Coturnix japonica: one gene and its partner. The protein of the gene in region 2 interacts with the protein of the main gene of each other region in a pairwise test. Links are inferred from orthologs where the notes say so. Each region holds a gene or a part of one and is shown on either strand. Other genes may lie near its edges. The genes, in order: LRRFIP1 and FLII.

Region 1 (10,852 bases), on a different chromosome or scaffold from region 2:
GGACAGAACTAGGAATCTGGGATGGCTGAAGACATCCCGACCCCTTTTCAGTCACCGGTGGGAACCAGTGAGGAGTGCTGTGCTCCCAGCACTGATGCTTGAAGGGCAATGGCAACAGAAGGGCAGGTTTCCTGGCCTGGAGAAGCTGCCGGCTCATTACTGTCTCAATGAGGGAATTCTTTGGGTGACTTGGTTAGGTAGATGCTAGTGACACACATCCTGAAGGTGTGCATTCTTGGAGCTTTTCCTTTTGGAAAGATTCAAGGGGTCATTGTTAAACTGGAAGCCCCAAGAAACAACCAACAAAGGCAGGAAATTAGGTTGCTTTTCTCAGCACTGGAAAATGACTGTGTTGACTTACAGCACAGCTACACACGTAATAGTTTGCAATCTATACAAAGCACTCCTTAAATCCAGTGTACTCAAAGCCATCCGCTTCGAAGACTTAACATTCAAGTGTTGGTCTGTAAGCACAAAATCAAGCTCAGAAAGCTCTCTGATCTCATTACCAGAAAAATACACCTGCAAACTATACAGCAGCTATTACATATTCTTTTAACAACTTTTCTCAGGCTAACATAAGCTGCTTGCCTTATTCTTAAGACAGAGCCAGCTATTTGTTTGCTGCGAACGCAGCTTCTCATGGGCACTGCCGCTCCAGCCCAGTACCCTGCATGGAAAAACTTTCTTCAAGTGTTACACAACTGCTCTCCCCATTTACATAAGTCACATGCTTCATTAGTCAAAAGAAACCTGGCAAGGTTTGCTGTGCTCCTCAAAAGTGTAAGGTTTATTTACACAAGCAGCACCTGATTTGAGAGATTCTCCTAAGGCAGCAGACATAGATCTATCAGCTCAACCTCAACTAAGTGACAGCAGTGTTTTCCTTCACCTGAGCTCCTGGAGCTCAACGTGAATAATCACCTGCTCCTTCACGCTGAAACAAGGGTGTCTGTACGTGATGATGCTTGGAGTGTATCTACCTGATGTTCTTTGCATCTGAGCTGGGAGCCTAAGTACACTTTGCACCACTTACTCATGTAATGATCAGCCAGTGAATCACACAGGGATTGGTCAGCCCACATCCTGCCCAGCTCTTTACCTTTCTCTTACATGCAAATGATTACTAAATATAAAGGTAAGGATTCCTTTCTAATAACCACAGGCCACCATCATCCTTCAGACAGTGGGGATCATTACAGACAGGTCTGACAGCTTCCCTCTGTTCCATGGGGTGACAGTGAGGGAGGATCCAGGAGGATGACAGTTCACATCACCAACCCACATCGGCAGCCCAGTAACGCCTATTACAACTCCATGGAGACACAGGGCTGCTTTTAAACTTCACTTACAAAGCACAAAAAGAAATTAAGTTGGCATATCTGCTCCCATGTCAATTTGAAAAGCAAATAACTCACACTCCTATACTTTACTTTTTAAAAGGGCTTAGAAAACTCGAAGCATAGGGAAGAATTAGCTACTCGTGGGTGCCAGTCAATGCCAACAGTTGGCACCCCACTGCTGTAGAGGTGCTGTTAATTACACAGCGCATCCAAACTGAGGCTGTTCTCACAGACTGTTCCAAACCTTACAAACTCACAGGCAAGAAAAACAAACAGCAGAACTTTCTCTAAGCATCTATGATTATAATGTTTGAGTTCAGCCAAAGGCACGTGCAGCTGTAACACAGCAGAAACCCGGAGGAAGCAATTTAGGGGCGCAGCATTGCTCAGCAGCTCGCTAAGCGGCCGAGAGCTTCACTGCACGCAGCTGGGTAACCTGGGCTGTAACGCAGACTGCGAAGATACTGTCCCGCAAGAGGCGATAAAACCAAACTCGCTACGGTTTAAACTGGGGGCAGACAAGTTCAGGGCAAACATACCCAATTGGGGGCACCGCTTACTAAGCGTTGTGAAAGCCGATTAAATGCAGAGCAGCCCCCGAAGGGTTAAATGAGCACAGGTGCTGCCCGGTTGTGATTCGGACCGTAAGAGCCGTAGCACCCCCACCCTCCCCAACGCCGTACCAGTTTCTGAGCCTCTGGGCTCAGGCAGTCCGCTTCTATCGGCATCGTTGCAGTTGGATCTTCGCATGAAAGAGAAAAGCCCCACCCGGCCCCTCCGAGCAGACCCCGCCAGGCTCGTGCTGGCGGAGAACGACGCGCTGCCGGCACCTCCCGGAGCCGAAGTCCGAGCGCTCCGTGCCCGCGGGCTGTCGGTACTCGCTGTGAGTCAGCAGCGCCCGCCGGCACCGATGTGACAACTACACGCGTTTCTTGGCTCTTATCAGCACGCCGCCTGTTGCTTCTACCGATTGCTATTCACGCCGCTTTTTTGGTGAAGACTCTTATGCACGTAGCGTGCTTCTTGGTGTAGAGAAAGAGAAAGCAATTGTGAGAACGGCTGCAGAGCTTCCCAGGCTTACAGCTTCCTTTATGTGCTGGAGATAAACGCCGGCAACAACGGCACAACCACCCGCTTAGCCTATGGCTGCCCTCTGGGCAGCGCAGCCGAGCTGCATATCTCCGAGCACACTGAATGTTAACAACAGGAAGCACTCGAACAGATGCTTACACGCAGACATTCACACCATCGGCGTTCGCATCTCAGAAATAAAGCACTCAACTGCCTCTAATTTGCTGCAATTCTATCAATAACGCTGCGTTGGTTCGGGTAGAGCTGAGCTCAGGGCAGTGGTGTAAACCAGGTGCACCAGCATAAGAACCACAGAATGGCCTGGGTTGAAAAAGACCACAATGATCATCTCATCCCAACCACCTGCTACACACAAGGTCACCAACCACCAGACCAGGCTGCCCAGAGCCACATGCAGCCCTCCTGATTTTGCCTGGAAAGCAGAGGTGAGGGCAGGGAGGAAGCTACTGGGGTATGAAGAAAACCCTAAGCAGCTCCTTTTACCCACAGAGGTTTTGCAGCAGCAACAATAGCAGGCGCTACAAGTCATCTCCTCCTGGCACGCGGTACACCAGACAAGCAAAACAGGGCGCTCCCTTAGCAACAAAACCTTGCTCTCTTTTTCCTGGTCACCAACAACCAAACCCTGCTCTTGCTTTCCTGGTCACAGGCAAAGGTGGGGACCTCATGAAGTCTCCGCCCAGGAGCTGAGCTCAGTTTTTCCATGAGCTGCCAGCCCTGAACGAAGAGCTCAATTCTCCTGCTGGCAGAGCACCCTGTTCCTGTATTTTCCATGCCGCTGACAATATTTTAGCTAATTTGGAAGCGCTGGCACTATTTGCATTCAGAAGGTAACCAGCTGGCTGCTTTCACTGGTTGGGAGACCCTGCAACATCCTATTGCTCCTGGACAGGCGAGACAGACACACTGCTCCTCCATCACAAGCAATGGGAGGGAGCTCCAGTCTGCTCTATTTCCCTCATGCTTTGGCATTCTCTGCTCTTGCTGACAAATTTTACAGGACTGAAAGAATAACAAATATTCCAGGTCCTCACACAACTTCTAAGGCACAGCAGATTCCCTTGCTCTAGAGCTGCAGTCTGACATCACCCAGCAGTTATCCTGCAGTGCTCAGCACAGTGGAGCAAAGCATTGCAGAAACCCCCAAACCAAAACTAGCTTGGAAAGTGCGCTCCTGGGTAATGGCAGCTCCCCCTAAGGTGGGACAGGAGCCAGTCTCTGAAGTTAACTCTTCCAGACAACTGTCTTTCCTCACATAGGAAAGCGTGGTAACTCAGCATGAAGAAGTATGCTGAATTTTACATGAGCATAAAGTAGGTGATTTGCTATGGCTTTCATGACCAACAAGAATCCAACTCCCCTCTAATTTTTACTGGCAGACCTGTACAGATTTGTATCCTGTGCGTCACTACAAAGATATACCAGAAACGTGAATACTTCCTGTATGAGGCCTATGATACTAAGAATCTCCCCCCACACACCTTTTTTCAGTTACTTCTAAAACCAACATAGAACCCAAGATGTTTGTTTTCAATGGGCTTACTTGAGAAAGCACTTCAAACCTCAGGGTAAGCCAAAACACACAGTGTGCCACAGACTTCCAGGATTAGGAGGTCATTTTAATACCTCTGAATTTCCTTTTTTTTTTTTTCCCCCTTAGTAATATACAGTTGGCAGCATTCAAGGCACGTCTGCCTTGATTCTACATAGAGCAAGGCACATTCTGTTTGGATTTGCAAGCTGGTGCTGCTGGATTTCCCAGGAAGGGGAACTGCTACAGACACGTTCTCTTCCTCACCTCTCCTTCCTCTGGTGCTCTGTGGGGTTCTCCAGGCACTGAAATAGAAAGCAAGCACACATGATGCTGAACTACATCAGCTGAGATGCAAGCTAGGCAGCCAATGCCGCATCTTACTTGATTGTACTCCAAAGCCATTCAGAACCACTAAGCTGACAGAGAACAACTGCTGTGAAACCCAGGGGAGCCCTCCAACACAGGTCACACCCAACTGATGTCCTCAGGGCATGTTACACCAGAGTCAATCACTAGACTTAGAGTTAGAATAAAAAAGGCCAAAAGCTTAACATACAAATAATAGCACCAAGAAAACCTGCAACACGTTTCCATATTAGACCACCCCTATATTAATCTTAACAGCCACACTGCAATGCTGTCCCTCGCATCCATCTGCAACTCTGCTGACCGCATTTATATCTTAAAAATAATACGAAAGAAAATATTATGTCTTCTTTTTATCTTCAAGTAGCATATTTTAGAATGCTAGCATTGTATTTATTACTGGCATTCCTGACAGCGAGAAGGGGAAATGCAAAGCTCAAGTTATAGACAAAAAGGCTGGCAAGCACATTGTAATAGACAAATGTAGTTACTCAAGGGTTTTTTCCTCCTTCAGTTCATGATCTTGTTCTAATTTCAAGAATGTCTATAACAACCTATGGAGTAACAACCTACCGAAGTCATGAAGACAAGAAACTACATATGTATCTCACTTCATTGTGACTGCCTGCTGTGGGCATCCTGGCACACTTGCAGCTCAGCTGGCAGAGTTAACAAAACCTCCTTGTAAACTGTCACCAAGGCAATGGACTCAAGTATACACAACTAAATGCTTCTTAGGAAAACAATGTCCGGTTTTCATCACAAGAACATGCTGCCAGTATCAACAGATAATGTTCGATTGAGGCTAGATGGCGACACAGCAAGGAAGAGAAAGAAAACTGCTTACAACATTCCACGTTCACTACAGAGAAATAAAACACTGTGTCAACTCAAATGTACAACAGTCATTTCTTTACCTTACGTACCTGCAAACATGGAAGACTCACGCCATTAAACATCTTAGCAGAACTATTAACTTTGACAAGAGTCCAATTTTCCAACGCTTAAGGACACCTACAGAGGCAAACTGACCAAAAAGAGAGCTGTTGTGCCTCGTGATGCCCAGCAGCAACCTAAGCATCTTTTCCTGACTTACTAATTCACACCACACAATCCTGCAAGACCAGGGTTTGTTGGGAGGTTAAATTAGGATTTCTCATGGCAAGCTCGTCTTGCAAGGGCGTCCCAAGAGCAAGTTCTTATTTTGTTCCTCAGAATTCCAGAACTTAGTTTTTCCTCTGTTAACTTCAAGTGCCAGGAGAACGATCATGCAGACATTCCCCTTTGGCATCTCGATGGTGCAAGCACAAGTTATCTCTGTTTAATGGGTCAGCATTCTTGCTCTCCATGCTTAACATTTTAAGCCAGACACCAAGAAGAGGGGAAGAAACCCATAGCTAATGAGGAATTTACATAAGAACAGCATGAACTTGAAAAACATTTGCTTATGCATTTGCCAGAAAATGCATCTCAGAGATAATTCAAGCATGTGACCAGAAGCTGGGAAGTCTCGTTGACAAGAACCCTTTCCCCATAAGTGAAGCAAATGTTTACTTTGCGGAGCTCTGCAGTGAACACTGCGTACAGCTCTACAACATAAGAGACAATTAAGGAGTTGCATCTTACTTCATAAATTGTATTGCCATGCAGTCACAAAGGGCTGCTGCTAAAAATACAGTCTAAACAATAACTGAACTCCATCATGAGATCGCACGGATTGCCAAAGCTCACCCCAGCACAAGGAATCAATCTTAACACACCTGTAAAAAGGGGGGTATCATGCAACAATTGTCATAGACCCTAGCAGCATTTAGCCGGCAATCATTCCCTTAGCAAACCCTTTGCTTTTTTAAACCTCCCAGGGTGGGAAAACCATTCATGATGCTGTGAAATTCATGCATTAATCAGAAAGCTGATAAAGTCTCTTTTTTTCTCTTACCTGTTTGTGTAGTTCATGCACACTATCAATAACAAGTTCGCAGAGCAGTTCCACAGGGGCTTGCTCTCCTAGAGTGGTCTCTGGCACAGCACTGGGCCTGCCGTGCATCCCAGGCCGCTGGCTCACTGCAGCTGGTTCAGCTATAAGCAGGGCTCTGCTTTAAGGCACTCTGGACTAGTGGGAGGAGGGACAGTGCTGGAAGCACCTCCTTCAATCTAAACAAACCCCCTCCACGTGAAAATGCTGCAGAGTTCAACATGCTCCATAAGAAAATGAGTGTGACAGCTCATCAGTTCTGCAGGCCATTAAAAACAAAAAAAAACCCCAACACTTCTGTGTAAATATTGCAGCTAAAGAGCCTGCATGGGAAGAGAATTGATTACAAACAGAAAGTGATCCTAAACTGGTTGATCTGTATACAAAGAGGGCATACCATTTTCACGGCTGTTTAGCAATACCCATCCCATTTTTGTACTCAAATACAGCACAGAAGGGAGGTAAGAACAACCCCAGCGCAGAGGCTGTGGGCAGACCTGCAGGAGCATGTTGCAGTTTCCTATCCTGACCACTTTTCTATAGGTGGTGTACTGACCTGGCAGAGAACCAACACTGTATCAGCATTTCAGTCACATCTTCAGTTAGCATCCCTGATCAACTCTAGTCTGGGAGTGACTGCTCCCATAAGGGAAGCATTTGGATGCCACTTCACAGCTGTTATCTCAAAGAATAAAGCCATGAGCTTTATACAGCCTATGCAAGACTTCATTCATTCACGTACTTGAGCTCAAGACCATTACTCACGTAAAGTAGTTTCAAGGCACTCAGCGCTGACCTTGGAAACAGCTGGATCCTTCAGACAGATAAGCAAATCACAATTGTTGAATCTAAAATGATATCCAGTAGGAAAAACCCAAGAAAACCAACCGACAGTAAGAGCAAACACTGCACTTTGACAAGAATATAATAAGGTCCACAGCACTGTCTCCTAAAACACCCACTTGCAGTAAGCTGTGTTCAGTGATCCCTTCCACTTGCCATAATGGCTCTGCGCTCTCTCCAGCTTGACATCTTAGTACAATGCTACACACAGAAAATGAATTGAACTGTATTTCAGATCCTTGATAATGCTCCGCCACTTCTTTCTAGCTAAAGCCAAGCTGCAAATGGCATGTTTCACAGTAGGGCTGGTCTGTAAGCGCCCAGGTCTCAGTAGACCTTCAGTAAGGAAGTACGCATGCTAATTGAATTCAGCTGTTGGTACACATCAGCAAAGAGCAAACACACTTGTCTGGACCATGCTGCTTATGGAAGAAGCAAGCACAATAGCCATATTTGGAGCCTGCAATAAACAGCACTATTTTGGTGGCTTCTTTATAGAGTAAACACAGGTCAGGGAGGGCTCCAGGGCTGGGTGAATGCCAGCACCTTTTTGAACATGGACATAAACAAAGCTTTTGTTCCTGACTGGTAATAGCATTTGAAATATAAATAACCACTGCTAGTCAGAGATTGTTACAATCAATATAGTCAGTGAAGACCAAAGTGTGGTACCCACAGCATTCCAAACTTCATCTGAATAAGTGTGCAATATGGCCCAGAATTTTAGCATGTTCACATGTCACAAATCTCAGCTTAAAGCAGCACCCATAAGCTTTTAATTGAAGAAAAAATAATCCAAAAGTTACTAATGCTGCTTTGAGGGACAGGTTGAAAATACTGCAGACTAAGCAAAATACATGGTGGGATACGTTGAAAACATTATATAGACAAAATAGATGATGAATATCAAGCAAGAGCACAAGGAGTATAGGAATTAAGATGCTTACGAAAGTAAAAGTTACAGAGGAAAATAAAAGAACATGGGACAAGAGCCAAAGCCTGCAACACCCAAGATTTAACAGCCATAGTCCTGTTTCTATAAACAAACAGCTCTTCCATTAATTTTTAGGGATTAGCCCTGGAATGAAAGGAACTTGCTGCTCCTCTTTCCTGTTTACAAGGTGTCTGCTTTATCTCAGTTTCTGAAATGAGCAAAACAAGGGCAGCCACTGCTACAGCCACATGTATAGTGTTACTCCTGCAAAGACAAAAAGAACTTCGACACAAACAGAAGGTTTTTCAGTCCAGTAAGTTCTATCCTAAAAATCAAAATGCATCATAAAGAACCACCAGATACAGATTGTACTTACTTTTCCTTTCTCAATTAAATGCAATGGTTCAACCAGGCTGAGCTGGGTGTAGACTTTTTCCATTTGTAAAGCCATCATCATTCCAATCAGCTGGAAAGCAGAGTGAGACTGTGCACAGCTCTGTGAATGAGACACTAAGTACAGCTCCGCAGTAAAGGCGCTACACTTCTGAATTTCCAGTGTCCAATAGTCAGACCAGAGGTCAGAGCTGATGCAGAAAAAGTTTCCTGAGAGCTTTTTACTCAGTGCATTGCATGGCCACACAAAATGCTGATACAGAAGAACAGCTTCCAAAGCCAAGACACACTGTAATGTTATGTTCAGTTGCTTAAGACTGAAGTTAGGATGTGTGAACTGCTTGACAATCACCCTTAGTGTGAGACCTCTACATTTTGCTATAGGTCAAATCTACTTGTATCAGCGAGAAGTTCTCAAATCTTCATGCCAAAAACTAATCAGTAGGTTGCACCAGCCTTTGTCATCAATTAATACAGACTTGCACCATGCTTCTGTTTCTTGCCCAGAGAAAAGATTAAATGTTCCTCTGGAAGAAAACAAATGAGAGAGGTAATACTTTGAAATCTTCACACAACACATTTCAAAAGCATTATGCCAGCAGAACGAATCACAAACTCCAGTAAGAGCTTAATCTTCTGCACAGCTAACTCGCTTGTATTTATTAGGTACAAAGGAGAGCAGGCTGGAAGCAAACACAGCTCTTTTATGGAATTTAGTTTTCAGGAGCAACTCACATAGCATAGCAGCTCTCTGCAGACAAGAGCAACACTCTGCAAACTGCAACTCAGAAGTGCTGACTGCAGCAGAAGAGATATGAGAGATCGTAATACGGTCACTGTATCATGTGCCTGCCAAGTCTGCAAGACAGAAATGCTATGACATACTCTCAGCTACTTTTATGAGAAAACAAGCCACGCTACACATTAAAGGCACAGAATTAATTGCAAGTTTCTGAACACGAGTAGGAAGAAAGTGTTTTTTTTTGTTTGTTTTTTTTTTTTTTTTAAAGGTACCACCCAGACTTAATCTGTTTGAAATAAAAGAATGCTCTAATTCTCCCATGTATGCACGAGGCAAGTCTGAAGGTCAGCATCCCATCTAGCATAGCAGAGGAGTAATGGTGATGAATTGCTCCATACGGAAAGGCCAAGAGTGAACCTGTAGCCTGTTCAGCCTGTCCTGAAACCCACAAGAGGGAGTAACAAACAAAGCAAACATTCTGAGTAACCAAAGAGGCAGTGCTTCAATCACACAATGCAGGGGCACCATATTTTTGGTACAAGAGTACCATTGCTTGAAAACTCTGTCATGGAAAATGTGGATGAAGATATCAGCACTTTTAAAGATAACTATGGGATAACAAACAGGATACATGACCACTGTAGAAGGCCTATTCCTCTGTGTACCTACATGTTATTTCAGACTTCCTTAAATCACTTGCCCTTCCAAATGCCTTTCAATCACCTATACAAAGAATAAAGAAGGGAAAAATAAAGCTGAAGCAAACTAACAAAGGTAGCAAAAGGATGGAGGTGCTTCAAGTCTGTCATAAGATTCCACATTTTCCTCCCACAAACATAATTCCAGACTTCATTCTGCCTATAGTCTATGTTCAGTGTTTCCATCCTCACCTTCATGAATGCTGTTTGAACACCTCCAACAAAACCTCTACGTTATTTCTTTAAATACCAGCTACTCAAGGTGCCAGGTACTCAAAGGTATTCAGAAGCTTTTGGCACTCAGAACTTTACTGCTGCAGGAATAAAACAGAGCATTAAGTGGTTTAAAGAGTTCATAACACGTCTTGCTGGCTGCCACAGCTGCCTGCCAAGCTTGTTTTTAAGTGAATGAGCAGGAATAAATATGACAGCAGAGCACTTTGGTGACAGTTATGCTGCTTTCAGTGGGAGCACCTCAGAGCTCCAAGGAAAAGTGGAAAACTGCACTAAATGCTTCCATAGAAGCAGAACATGCAGCATTTTGCCTCCTGCCTCCCAGCCCAGCGTTACAGCATCTGTGATTTGATGTCCTGGCTCAATTACCCGATCCCAGCTCCAGCCTGGCTACCAGCCCTTGCATACAGAGTGGCCCTGGTGCTCTTAAAAATGGACCCTGGGTATGGTCACCAGTCTAGCACAGGCTTCATTGTGAGCACTAACAGCCTATCATGCTCCTTTGGTTGTTTAATGCAGCAGCTGTCTGTGTACAGCCACAGACATACAGAACATCAGGTTTCAGAGACACCTGCTTTGCCTGCAATCACTGAAAAATATTAACACAATAATGATCACAAAGCAGCTTGCTGGTAACTACAGTAGGCTTTAAGGTTACACAACAAAAGACAACACAGTGATACACTTCAATGTATCTT
Region 2 (10,939 bases):
CCAATGCCCACCCAGAAGAAGTTTTCAGGCTCTTCTCCCTCGTTGATCACCTGTGAGAACAAGGGTCGTGTACATAACATGGCCGAGTTCTTCCATCCCTCACAGCTCTCAGGTAAGGTGGTGCTGAGCCAAACAGCCCCATTCCCATCACCTGCTTGCTGTAGGAGTCATCAAACATGTTGTTCATAATGTCCTCAGCCAGCTTGGCCTCGTCAGGGTCAGCAGCTCGTCCCACCCAGGTGTAGACAATGCCCTGGTTGTCTGTGCTCTCAAATGGGACCTGGGGGGAGCAGAATGGTGGGGTTGGGGATGTGTGGCTGGTCCCCCTCCCCTCCCTTGCTGCTGGGAAAACATAGTCAGCCTCAGGCAGTACCTTGAGGATGAAGCAGAACTCAGAATTGAGCAGCCCAGCGTCTGTGTTGATCTGGATGCACCTAGAAGAGAAGCCCATGAGGCACCATCAGTAGGAGCTGTGGTCCCCCAGCGTTCCTGGGCAGCACCAACAGGTCAGGGGGAGCTGACCTGGTGCAGAGGGCTCCGCCATTGGTGCGGATGTGGTAGAGGCTGGGCTGGGGTGGGATGGCCTTCTCCTTCCGCTTGCCCCGGTGGATGACGAACCTCCTCTTGAAGTGTGACAGGAATTTGGGGTTCTCCTGCTGCTGGGTCATGCGCACCACCTGGGCAAGGTGGGTGTCAGCAGGGGCAGGGGGCCCCCAGCACAACCCCAAGCTCCAGCTGTGTGGGTGGCTGCTGGCACCTCTGCCATCTTCATCTCAGCTGCCACCCCCTGCCCTCTGTCCAGGGAAAGAGGGGGACAGGGGAGCAGCAAGGCCAAGCAGGAGGACCCCATATTCCTCTTCCAGGAGCACACAGGGGGATCCTTAGGGCTGGGGCTGCCTGGGCTGGGTTATGGAGCAGTTCCCCATGGGCAGTACAAGGGAATCCCAGCACAGGGACTCACCTCTAGTTTGCCTGGGAAGAGACTCTCAAACTTCTTTTGTAGGCTGAAGGTGAAGGTGAGCCAGCCCATGTTGGAGGCCTCACGGCCCTGCCAGAAGTACACAATGCACTGGAAATCTTCTTCAGGTTGTTTCTCCTCCTCCTCTTCTTCACCCTCCTCCTCCTCTTTGCCTTTACTCTTCTTTTCCTTCTCCTCCTCCTCCTCGTATTCTACTGGCACCCAGTACCTGAGTGCAGGGACAGGTTGAGGTGGGATCTGGGCAGGGTAATGGGGGATGCAGGGGCTCAGTAGCCCCAGGAGCGACAAACTGTGTTTACCTGCAGAGGAAGACATAGCAGTCGTGTGTGTGGAAGTGGCCAAACTCCTCCTCGGGCAGCCGTGCGAATTTCTTGCCCTCCAGCACAAAGCCCTCCATCCCATCCAGGTCCTCATTCCACTCCTCCATCAGCTGCTCTGCCTGTGGATCCCCATGTGCCCAGTCAGCCCACGGAGTCCCAGACCTGCTGCTGCCACGGGGGACACGTGGGGCATCCCCAGCCCTACCTCACTCAGGGGCATGGGGGGCTGCCGGGGCAGGAAGAGCGCGGTGAGGTCAGCCTTCATCTGGTCCTTCTTCTCAGCATCCTTGCGCACCTTGCCGGCCAGGCCACCCTCCTGCAGCACGTTCTCAGCGTTGCGGGTATAGTCCACTTGCAGGACGTCATCCCAGTTCTTGAACTTGGATTTGAACACCTAAACGCAGCGGATACTGGGTAGGGAGAAGGAGCAGAAGGCTCCAGGTGTAACCCCATCCCTGCCCTTCAGATCAGTGTCCCCCCACCTGACACTCGGTGCCCTCCAGGTTCCGTGTGACCATGGCGTGCTTGGGGCGGTGCAGCATCCCGCACAGCTCCTGGCTCAGCTTCAGTGCTGCTGCTCGCACCAGCCGTGAAGATTTCCTCCCGATCCAGATAAAGACATCAGACCAGCAGTCCAGGATGTACACGTTCTTGGTGTCCAGCAGGCTCTGCAGCTGGGGACACAAAGGAGGGACAGGGTCAGGTACTGCTGAGCTTTTCCCAGGCTGAAATGCTCCCCAAGGCCAGCTGGGATAAGCAGAGCATCCTGCACCCAGGATACCCCAGAGCATGGCTGGAGGCAGGGAGAGAGCAGAACCCATCTCACGGGTCAGAACAGGAGAGCCTCCCTCCCCATCCTATGTCCTACCAGGCGCATCTCAGGCATCAGATCAGCCTTCAGTCTCTTCTTGTGCTCTACCGACAGCTTGTAGTTGATCTGGGGCAGCTCCAGGTAACCCAGCCCCAAGCCAACCTGCAGAGAACAGGGACACCGGGTGAGGATGGCCGTGGCACAGCGATGACCCCACAGAGGGCGGCAGCTCCTCACCTTGTACAGCTTGGGTTTGTGGGGCTGGAAGTCATCGGGGACGCAGGGCTGGATCTCCTCGGGCTGCCCCCCCAGAACGTCCCAGAACTCGGGGCTCTCCTGGCCCTGGCAGAGCAGTGTGATCTCTGCTTTGCCCTTGCGCTCGTTCTTGTTGATCTTCTCAGCAAAGAGTCTGTGGGAGCGCAGGGTGAGCTGGGCTCCTTGCTACCTTTGGTCCCCAGCCCAGGATCCCAGCTCTAACCTGGCCTTGGTGGTGCTGCTCAGCGTGGCCCGGCTTCCCCGCCACACAAAAAGCTCCAGACCGTGGTCCAGGAGGAAGACAAAGCTGGAGAACATGGAGATAAGAGCAGATGAGGAAGGGAGCAGGATGCACCACCATCCTCCCCACACTTGGGGTCTTTGTGAAGCAGGTAAAGCCTCTGCATGGGATTTGAATCCCTGATCTTAAAGAAGGGCAGCTCATTTCCACCCCAAAGCTGCAGCCACACTGTCTTGGCTTGGACCCGGCTCCCTGTCCCTTTTCAGGGACCCATATGTTCCCTCACTCTTTCCCTGCTCACCGGGGGTCTAGGGATGTCCCTTTCAGTGCCACTGGCTCCAGCTTGATGTTCTTCTTCCCATAGACACGGTACAGCCTGGGGGAGAGAGATGGCCATGACTGAACATGGGGCACCACCTGCCCCGTGTCCCCCCTCCCAGCCGCCTGCCCCCAGCCCTACCTGGTGATGTACTGAGTGTCCTCAACAGTGAAGAACCCGCTGGCCGTGCCACCCTCGATGTAGGAGATGTCATTATCAAAAACCTAGGGGCAAAGAAAAGGGGGTGAGGGTGGGGAATGGAAGGCTGGGGCTGTGTGGAGCACTGGGACAGCCTCACCTGGAGGAACTCATCGCTCTCATCCCCCATCTCCTCACGGATGCAGCGACATTCGGCCCCCAGGTAGTTGCGCAGGTTGACGGCGTGGATGGCAGAACACGCCTTCTTGTCCAGAGTGGCCTCCTGCCCAATCCAGTAGTAGATCTCCCAGCTGAGGGAGCCGTTCTCATCCAGGAAGGTCTGTGGAGGGACAGGGTGTGAGAAGGGCTGCAAAATGCCCTGGGGACACAGGGATCCCCACTGCCCTGCTGTACCTTCAGCACGATGTAGCAATCGGCCTCATAGAACTTCCCATAGAAGGCGTCATCCACCAGCGTGGGCACGAAGTTCTCGATCTGCCAAATGCTGAGGCCAGGCAGCTGCCCCACATCCTCACTGAAGAACTCTGAGTAGTCCAGCTGGGGCTTCTCCAGGCCCTGGTCCCAGCGCCGTGTCTTCAGATCCGGAGCTTTTGCTTCCCCACTCTCCTGCGTGGACAGGGATGGGTCACCCAGGTGGGACACCCCATGGTGGGACAGGGCTGGATGCAGACCTACCTCTATCTTCTTGTTCTTCTCCTGGGCCACATCTGACATTCCCTTCAGCACCTGCTTGGCCTGGTCATCCTGGGCTGAGTCCTTGCGCCGCCGCAGACGCATCTTGCGGGCCAGTGGGTCCTTGGTGCTGCTCCCTGGGGACAGTGGGACGGGGTGAGAAGCAGCGGGACCCCCCAGGCATGGCACAGGGCCGTGCCTCCTTGTCCACTTGCCTGCTGCAGCAGCTGCCACGGTGGCTGGTGAGGCTCCGGCCAGGCGGAGCTGGTTCTGCAGGGAGAAGTCGATGTTGTACCACTCTGATGTCCGCTCTGCTGGCTTTGGGGGCATCACCAGGTTGGGGTTCTCACGCACATCCAGGACCTGCCAAGGGGATGGGAGAACTCAGTGCTCTGAGGCACGGAAACACCAAGGATGTGAGGTAGGATGGGAGTGCTCAAAGCACTGCAAGCTCTGGGGAGATGATGGGGGACCATGCACCAGGCTGCAGGCAGCGCCCTGCCCTCACCCCATCCCTCAGACCCCAGGGGTACACACAGTGCTGGGCTCTCACCTCCACATCTGTCAGGAAGTGAATGGCCTCTGGCAGCGTCACCAGGCGGTTCTTGTTCAGCACCAGCTTCCGCAGCTTGGAGCACCTGCGGGGTGGGGGGATGCTGAGACAGGGCTGTGCCAGGGTTGCATTCTTCAGGACCCTCCACCCCATCATCTCCCACCTCCACGTGTCCCCTCTTGGGGACAGCTCAAATCTGGCCGGGGGCTGCCCCCTACCTGCACAAGCTCTCAGGGATGAGCTCCAGGTTGTTGTTGGCCGCCATGAACTCCTCCAGGTTGGAGAGCTTGCCAATGCCCGAGGGGATCCCATCGAAGTCGAGCTTGTTGGAGTTAAGGTACATCTTCTTCAGCTTGGTCAGCTTGCAGATGGCAGACTGGGGAAGGAAGGGGAAGGTGGTGGGGTGAGGGCTGGCACTGCAGCCAGGGAAGGGACACAATGGAGGAGTGGGGACATGACGGAGGGATGGGGACAACACGCACAGGCAGGGAGGTGAGCTCATTGCGGGACAGGTTGAGGGTCTCCAGCTGTGTCCACTGGTCGATGCACAGGGACAGCTCAGTGATCTTGTTGCTGCTGAGGTTGAGGCGCCGCAGGCTGCCCAGCGTGTAGAGGCACTCGGGAACACGGCTGAGGTCATTGCAGGACAGGTCCACATCTGGGGAACAAATGGGGCTGAGGCCACCAGGACACACACCAGGACAGCCCCGATGCAACACCCCAACACAGCCCTACCTGCCAGGTTGACCAGGCTCTCCAGGCTGGTGGGCAGGTTGTTCTGCGTGCGTTGTGTGTTCCGGAGGTGCAGGGTCTGCAGGGCTGTCATTGCTGGGAGCTGCCTGTGTGTCACAGAGACAGCATCAGGGCATGGCCCTGCGTGGCTCCACTATCTTGGGAACCAGACACAAAATGGAGCCGTACCGGAGCTGTGCGTGCAGCAGGGGGTTGTCATTGAGGATGAGGGTCTGGAGGTGCACCAGGCGTCTCATCTGTGGAGGGAGGCTCTCCAGCTTGTTGTTGCTCAGGTCAAGGTAAAGCAGGTCCGTGAGGTTGATGAAAAGCTGATTAGGGATGGTCTCGATACTGCGGGGACATGGGGACCTTCAGGGTGGCCCTGGATCCAACCCAAAGAGGGGGACCCAGAGTGAAGAGGGGAGTGGAGGTGACGGGTGGAGGTGGTCACGGTCAGGGGGAGCTGTGCTGCCAGGATCCCCACCTGTTGTGGCCCAGGTTGAGCACCAACATGTTCTTGGCATTCTCCAGCTCCCGGGGACACTCAGTCAGATGGTTGCGGCTCAGGTCCTGGGGGATGAAAGCAGGAATCATCCTCAGTCCTGGGATGAGTCCCCCATAACACAACTACCGCCCACCCCCAAGGATCATGGGGCATCTTTGGGACCACGTTCCAGATGCTCTTCAGTCCCACGTGCTTCCTTGAAGAGCACAAAGGAGCGTGACCAGGAGTCCAGGCTGGAGCTCTTACTGTGGGAAAGGGCAGCATGGAGAGTCTGCACTTACCAGCACTGAAAGATCCTCCAGCTGGAAGATGTCATCGGGGACTCCTGAGTTCTTCAGGCTGTTTGCACGTGCCACAATTGCCTTCAAAGTGGACAGAGAGGAATGACTGCAGCCACCACCCGGCTCCAGCAACTGCTGAGCCCCTCAGGAGGACCAGAGCCCACCATCCCCACTGCATGGGATGCACAACGGGACACTCACCCGGAGGCAGGGCAGGCTGGACAGCTCGCCATGAAGCGTGGTAAGGCTGTTGTGGCTGACGGACAGGTGCTCCTGTGGGGAATCAGGACAAAGCCCCAGTGAGTAGTGAGGGGAGCAGAGCTCAGCCCTGACCCATATTGGGCTGTTGGGGTCCCAAACTGGCTGGGGGGCTCCAGCATGTCCATAATATGCTGTAGGAACCACCAGAGCAAAGCTCAGCCATGGGCTCCACCAACAGCTACGCACAGAACTCGAGCTGCCAGGGAATAATTCCAGGCAGCTGCTGGCTGCTGCTTGTTTTTCTTTTTTCGCTTTTGCTAAGAGAGCCCAAACCTTTAATTCTCCCCATAAACTTTCACCCTTCCCTTCTATTAACAGGCAGAGGAAGAGAGTGTGGTTTCTGGTCTGGTTTTCTAAGAAAACAAGGTGAAACCCAGTACACATCAGCCTCAGCCCCTTTCCTAACAACTCCTGCATCCAATTTCAACCACACTTCCTCACTCAGCCCCTATTATTAGACGCTGGCACACGAGGCAGGCAGGCAGCAGGTTCTTGGCTGCGCAGCCCCCCCAAGTGCCCCATCCCCTGTTTGCTCACCAGCTTCTGCAGGGCAGCCAGCTCCTCGGGCAGGTAGCAGAGCCCTGTGTGGTTCAGCTTCAGCCAGCGCAGGCTGGTCATGGCCTTCACATGCTCTGGGAAGTAGCCACCCTGTGTGGGCATGAAGGTAAGAGAAACTGTATGACCCGTGGGGTGACAATGGAGAGACAGGGCTGGTGCTGTGGGGCTGCTGAGGGACAGATCACCCAGTATTATGGAGCTGGGGACTGGGATCACCCAGCCCCATGAGAACGAGATTTAAGGATGGGATTTAAGGACGGGAGCCTTATGGGACTGGGATCTGCAGACTGAGGTCACCCAGCCCTACAGGATGAGGACTGTGGGCTGACACCTCCCGGCCTTCCAAAGCCCCGCTCACACAGCAGGGCCTGCCAGGGTCACAACAAGGGCCGGGACTGACCGGCCCTAAGCGGGGACCTCGGGGATGGCCGGGCCTGGCGGGGAGCGGACAGGCCTGACAGTCCCTCCCATCCATGGCACTTCCGCCGGCTCTCCCCCCACCCCGCCCGGCCCCACACCGGGTACCGCCCCATACCGGGTACCGCCCTACACCCGGTACCGCCCCTACAGCAGGTGCCGCCCCCGCACCTTGAAGTCGTTACCGCTCAGGTCGACGCCGCGGACGAAGGGCAGCACCCCGGTGGCCGCCATGACAGCGGGGAACCCGGCGGGACGCGCCACCGCCCCAACACCCCGCCCCGCCCTGACGCTGATTGGAGGCGGGGCCAAGGAGCGCTGCGTTCATTGGCTGCGCTGCGAATTGCGGGCGCGCCGGCGCGCCAGCACGGGCTGCTGGTCCGCCCCGCTGGGAGCTGCGGGGTAAGTGGGGGGGGGCTATGGGGTGGGGGGTGAGATGGGCTCGGAGTTGGGGTTCGGAGAAGGAAATAACCGCGGGTAGTACCGTCAGTCAGTGGGGTTGGCTGTCCTACCTTTGTTTGCCCTTGGCAGCTCGGTGAAGGGGGCTGATTTTGTGCCGGCCCCTTCCGTGGTGCCATTGCAGCCCCCTCGTCCCGTCCCCATCTGTTGGCGGCCGGATCTTTATGGGGTGACCCTTGGTCCGGCCCGGCGCCACCACCGCAGCCGGCAGCAGCGGGATCCGTGGGCCTGAAGGTCGGCCGTGGTGGCGGCTGCCCCGCAGCTCGCGTCCCGCCGGGCTCCCCGCCTTCCCCCCATGGCCGTTACACGCCGGGTGTCATTACGGAGCCGGCTCCCCGCTGTCAGATCGCACCGCACCTTCCTCCTCCTTCCCGCAGGTGACCATGGCTGAGTTCTCGCAGCAGCGGGGCAAGCGGCGGGATGACAGCGGGCTGGGCAGCGTCCTGGACCTGCTGCTGGCCAACGCCAGGCTGGTGCTGGGCGTCAGCGGCGCGGCCGTGCTCGCCATCGCCACGTTGGCCGTCAAACGGGTGAGGCTGGGGGGGTGATGTGCCACTTTGCGTCCCAGAGACGTGCCTCGTTGTCTTCGGGAACCTGCGTGCATCTATGAGACTCCCAGAGCCATAGAAGAGCTGTGTGTGACTGTTACCCTGTCTGTGCCGTCCCCTCCCTGCTTTGGGGTGGGATGTGCTGCTGATTGAACAACGTGTCTGTGCAGGTTTTCCCTGTGGATCCTCCCTGGGTCTCTTTGCTCTCCCAGCAATAGCAGCCTTCTGTAAAGGGGGCTGCTGATCTCGGGTCTCCTCCCCCTCTGCCATCTGTAGCATCTCTCTGTGTTTGCATGAGCAGCAGCAGGTAGAGCATCCCCGTATGTGAACAAGGCTATTTGGGGCCTGTAGCTCTCAGTGCAGTTGGGATGGGGGAGCCCCCACTGCTTGTTCTCTGGGTGAGGTGAGGGTTTTGTGGACCACACACACATCCCCTCCATGTGTCTCTCCCACCAGCTGATAGATCGAGCCACGAGCCCTCGAGAGGAAGATGATCCTAAAGCTGAGCAGAAGAGCCTGGAGGAGAGCTGGCAGGACCTGGCTCTGATCAAGGCAACACCAAAACCTCCCAAGAAGCAGAGAAGGGAAGACCTGAGCAAACCCCTGCTCTCCCCGGCTCCACCACCAGCACCAGCTGATGCTTATGGTGGGTGCGTGTGGGTGAAGATCACCTTGGCTGGCTGTGCCTGTGCATGGGAGCTGGGCTTTATTTTTAGCTCTGTGACCGGAAAGCTGACCCGATTGTGTCTTCCCCCTTGGGAGGCTCCCAAGCTGCGGCCCCTTTTTTGGCAGTGCCTCAGTAGCAGCTCCTCTGATAACTGCTGGTTGGTTGGTCTGGTAACTCAGCCAGTTGGTTGGTAGAGGCTGCCTTGCCTTTGTTTCCTGTTGAACAGCGCTTGGTTTTTGGGTCAGCTCTGTCTAGGGAGGAAGATGTGCCTGTGAACTGCTGCAGACAAAGGCTGGCTTGTCCAGCTGGCTGCAAAGGCGGTGTTTTCTGAGTAGGAAAGCAGCCCAGCCTGGTGCTGGGCAGGTCCTGAGGCACTGCACCCAGAGTGGGATTGATTCAGGACTCAGCAATCAAGGAGCTGTTAGGGTAGGGGTGAGCAGTGGGGCTGAGCCTTGTGAAGGAGCCTGGTGGTTTGTGCTTTGTCTGGCTGCTGCTGTTTAGCTGGGCTTAGCCACCTCTAGCTGGGTGCTGTTGGGTTTGGGGTTTGGATTAAGCCCTGTGTTGGCTGGAAAGTGCTGTTATTCTGTGCCTCTCCTGGCAACATCAGCTTTGTGGCCAAAGGCTGAGAGCTGGGACTTCAGCACATGCTTTCTTTCTTTATGGCTGTGGCATGAGAAGATGTGTTGGCTGATCCATGACTTTTTCCTTGCCTTTGCCCCATCCCCTTATTGCAGAACCCAGGGTCTGCCCAGCGCCCCCAGAGCTTCCTCAAGTCGAGTCCAGCACTCCCTGCTGTCTCACACTGCAGGAGAAACTGCTGTCACACTACAGCATCCACCTCCCTATGTCTGAGGAGCAAGTGGCAGTTGCCCATCAGCTGGCCCGGAGCATTTGTGCTGAGCTTCAGAGCTTCTTACAGAACAAGTGCCCAGAGCTGCCCTTTGGCAGCCTCTTCCTCAGCGGTCCCCTGCTCGATGGCCTCGGAGCTCTTGCTGCTGACCACATCCACTTCATGCTGCCAGTAGTCCTGGATGCCACTCTCTGGAGCCTCATCCCAGGCGAGGACACCGTTGTGAGAAACCCCCAGTACTGGATGATCAAAAGGACTGACTTGGAGTATTTCCCTCGTGGGCGCAGCCCCTGGGACAGGTTTCTCGTGGGCCAGTACCTCTCCTCCAATGTGCTCAACGAGACCCTACACAAGATGTTGGTGGCCTCCATCAACTGGCCGGCCATCGGCAGCCTGCTGGGGACGGTCATCCGCCCGCTCGTGGCCTCCCGGGAGCTGAGGCTGGATGTCAAACACGATCAGGTTGAGCTGAGCATCGGCCTCTTCCCAGTGGTGGAAATGGAGGACAAAGTTCTTCTGGCCGCTCCTCCTGAAGGACTGGTGGAAAACCTCTGGCTCGAGAGCTTTGGCAGGGCGGAGGTCTTGAAGGTGAAGGAGCTGGATGCTGGTGATGCTGGTGCTCGGCAGCACTGCCTCCGTATCCTGAATGGGGTCTGCAGGATCCATCCTGCCCTGCACAAGCTGAGCGGCAGCCCCTTGGCACACGTCATCCTTCACCTGAGCACCACTGAGTCAGACTGGGCAGAGGAAAGCCTGGCCACCAGGTTCCAGCAAGTGCTCGAGGAGCTGGTGGGTTACCTGGAGAATGGGGTCCTGCCTTGCTACTTCAACCCCAAAGTCAACCTTTTCTGTGACCTGCTGGAAGAGGAAATAGAGGAGATGGGCTTCCTGCTCTATAGGGCTGTGTCTGAGCCAGGACTCCTGCTGACAGAGAAGTGACTGGTGCAGCGGGAGCTACTGAGCGTGGGGTGTTCCTCAGCTGTCTGGGCTGTGATGCTTCTAGTTGACTAGTCGGCAGGAGGCCAAGTTCTTGCACTTTATGAACAAAAGTATTTCCTTTCTGAATAAAACGTGCCTGAGAGTAATGGGTGATGGTGTAAGAAGCCATTTGCTGTGGGGCTCTGCCTTACCCACAGGGAATGCAGCCCTAAAGCAAAGTCCCATCTGCTGGGAACCAACATGGAACAAGTTTGGCTGCTGGATCTCAGCAAACTGCTCCTTCCCAGCCTGCCATCCCAACCTCTAGGCTCCCCCTGTGCTCCAAACAGAGACCTGAGCAGTTCAGAGCTTCCCCTGCCCCTTGTAGCACGCACGTCCCTTGATGCTGCTACAAACTTCATGGCTTATGATGT

What was found.
Region 1: the proteins of FLII (region 2) and LRRFIP1 interact in binary tests that used the Homo sapiens proteins (3 or more experiments, as listed by UniProt). The link is inferred for Coturnix japonica from reciprocal best matches to the Homo sapiens genes FLII and LRRFIP1.

What each region holds. Positions count from the first base shown.
Region 1 is NC_029522.1:8,636,524-8,647,375, forward strand, and holds the start of LRRFIP1 (leucine-rich repeat flightless-interacting protein 1), read right to left. Parts: upstream 6,398-10,852; 5' UTR 6,383-6,397; coding exon 6,275-6,382; intron 2,502-6,274; exon of another isoform or gene 2,072-2,501; coding exon of another isoform or gene 2,027-2,071; intron 1-2,026.
Region 2 is NC_029529.1:5,093,068-5,104,006, forward strand, and holds the start of FLII (protein flightless-1 homolog), read right to left. Parts: upstream 7,339-10,939; 5' UTR 7,298-7,338; coding exon 7,235-7,297; intron 6,737-7,234; coding exon 6,626-6,736; intron 6,101-6,625; coding exon 6,029-6,100; intron 5,909-6,028; coding exon 5,828-5,908; intron 5,612-5,827; coding exon 5,526-5,611; intron 5,393-5,525; coding exon 5,231-5,392; intron 5,149-5,230; coding exon 5,045-5,148; intron 4,968-5,044; coding exon 4,792-4,967; intron 4,686-4,791; coding exon 4,528-4,685; intron 4,395-4,527; coding exon 4,310-4,394; intron 4,120-4,309; coding exon 3,972-4,119; intron 3,894-3,971; coding exon 3,760-3,893; intron 3,691-3,759; coding exon 3,478-3,690; intron 3,404-3,477; coding exon 3,224-3,403; intron 3,150-3,223; coding exon 3,067-3,149; intron 2,983-3,066; coding exon 2,908-2,982; intron 2,673-2,907; coding exon 2,589-2,672; intron 2,520-2,588; coding exon 2,348-2,519; intron 2,273-2,347; coding exon 2,168-2,272; intron 1,974-2,167; and 15 more. Other genes in the region: MIEF2 (mitochondrial dynamics protein MID49), read left to right, coding at 7,906-8,052, 8,527-8,716, 9,472-10,526. UniProt on the Homo sapiens protein: Is a regulator of actin polymerization, required for proper myofibril organization and regulation of the length of sarcomeric thin filaments. It also plays a role in the assembly of cardiomyocyte cell adhesion complexes.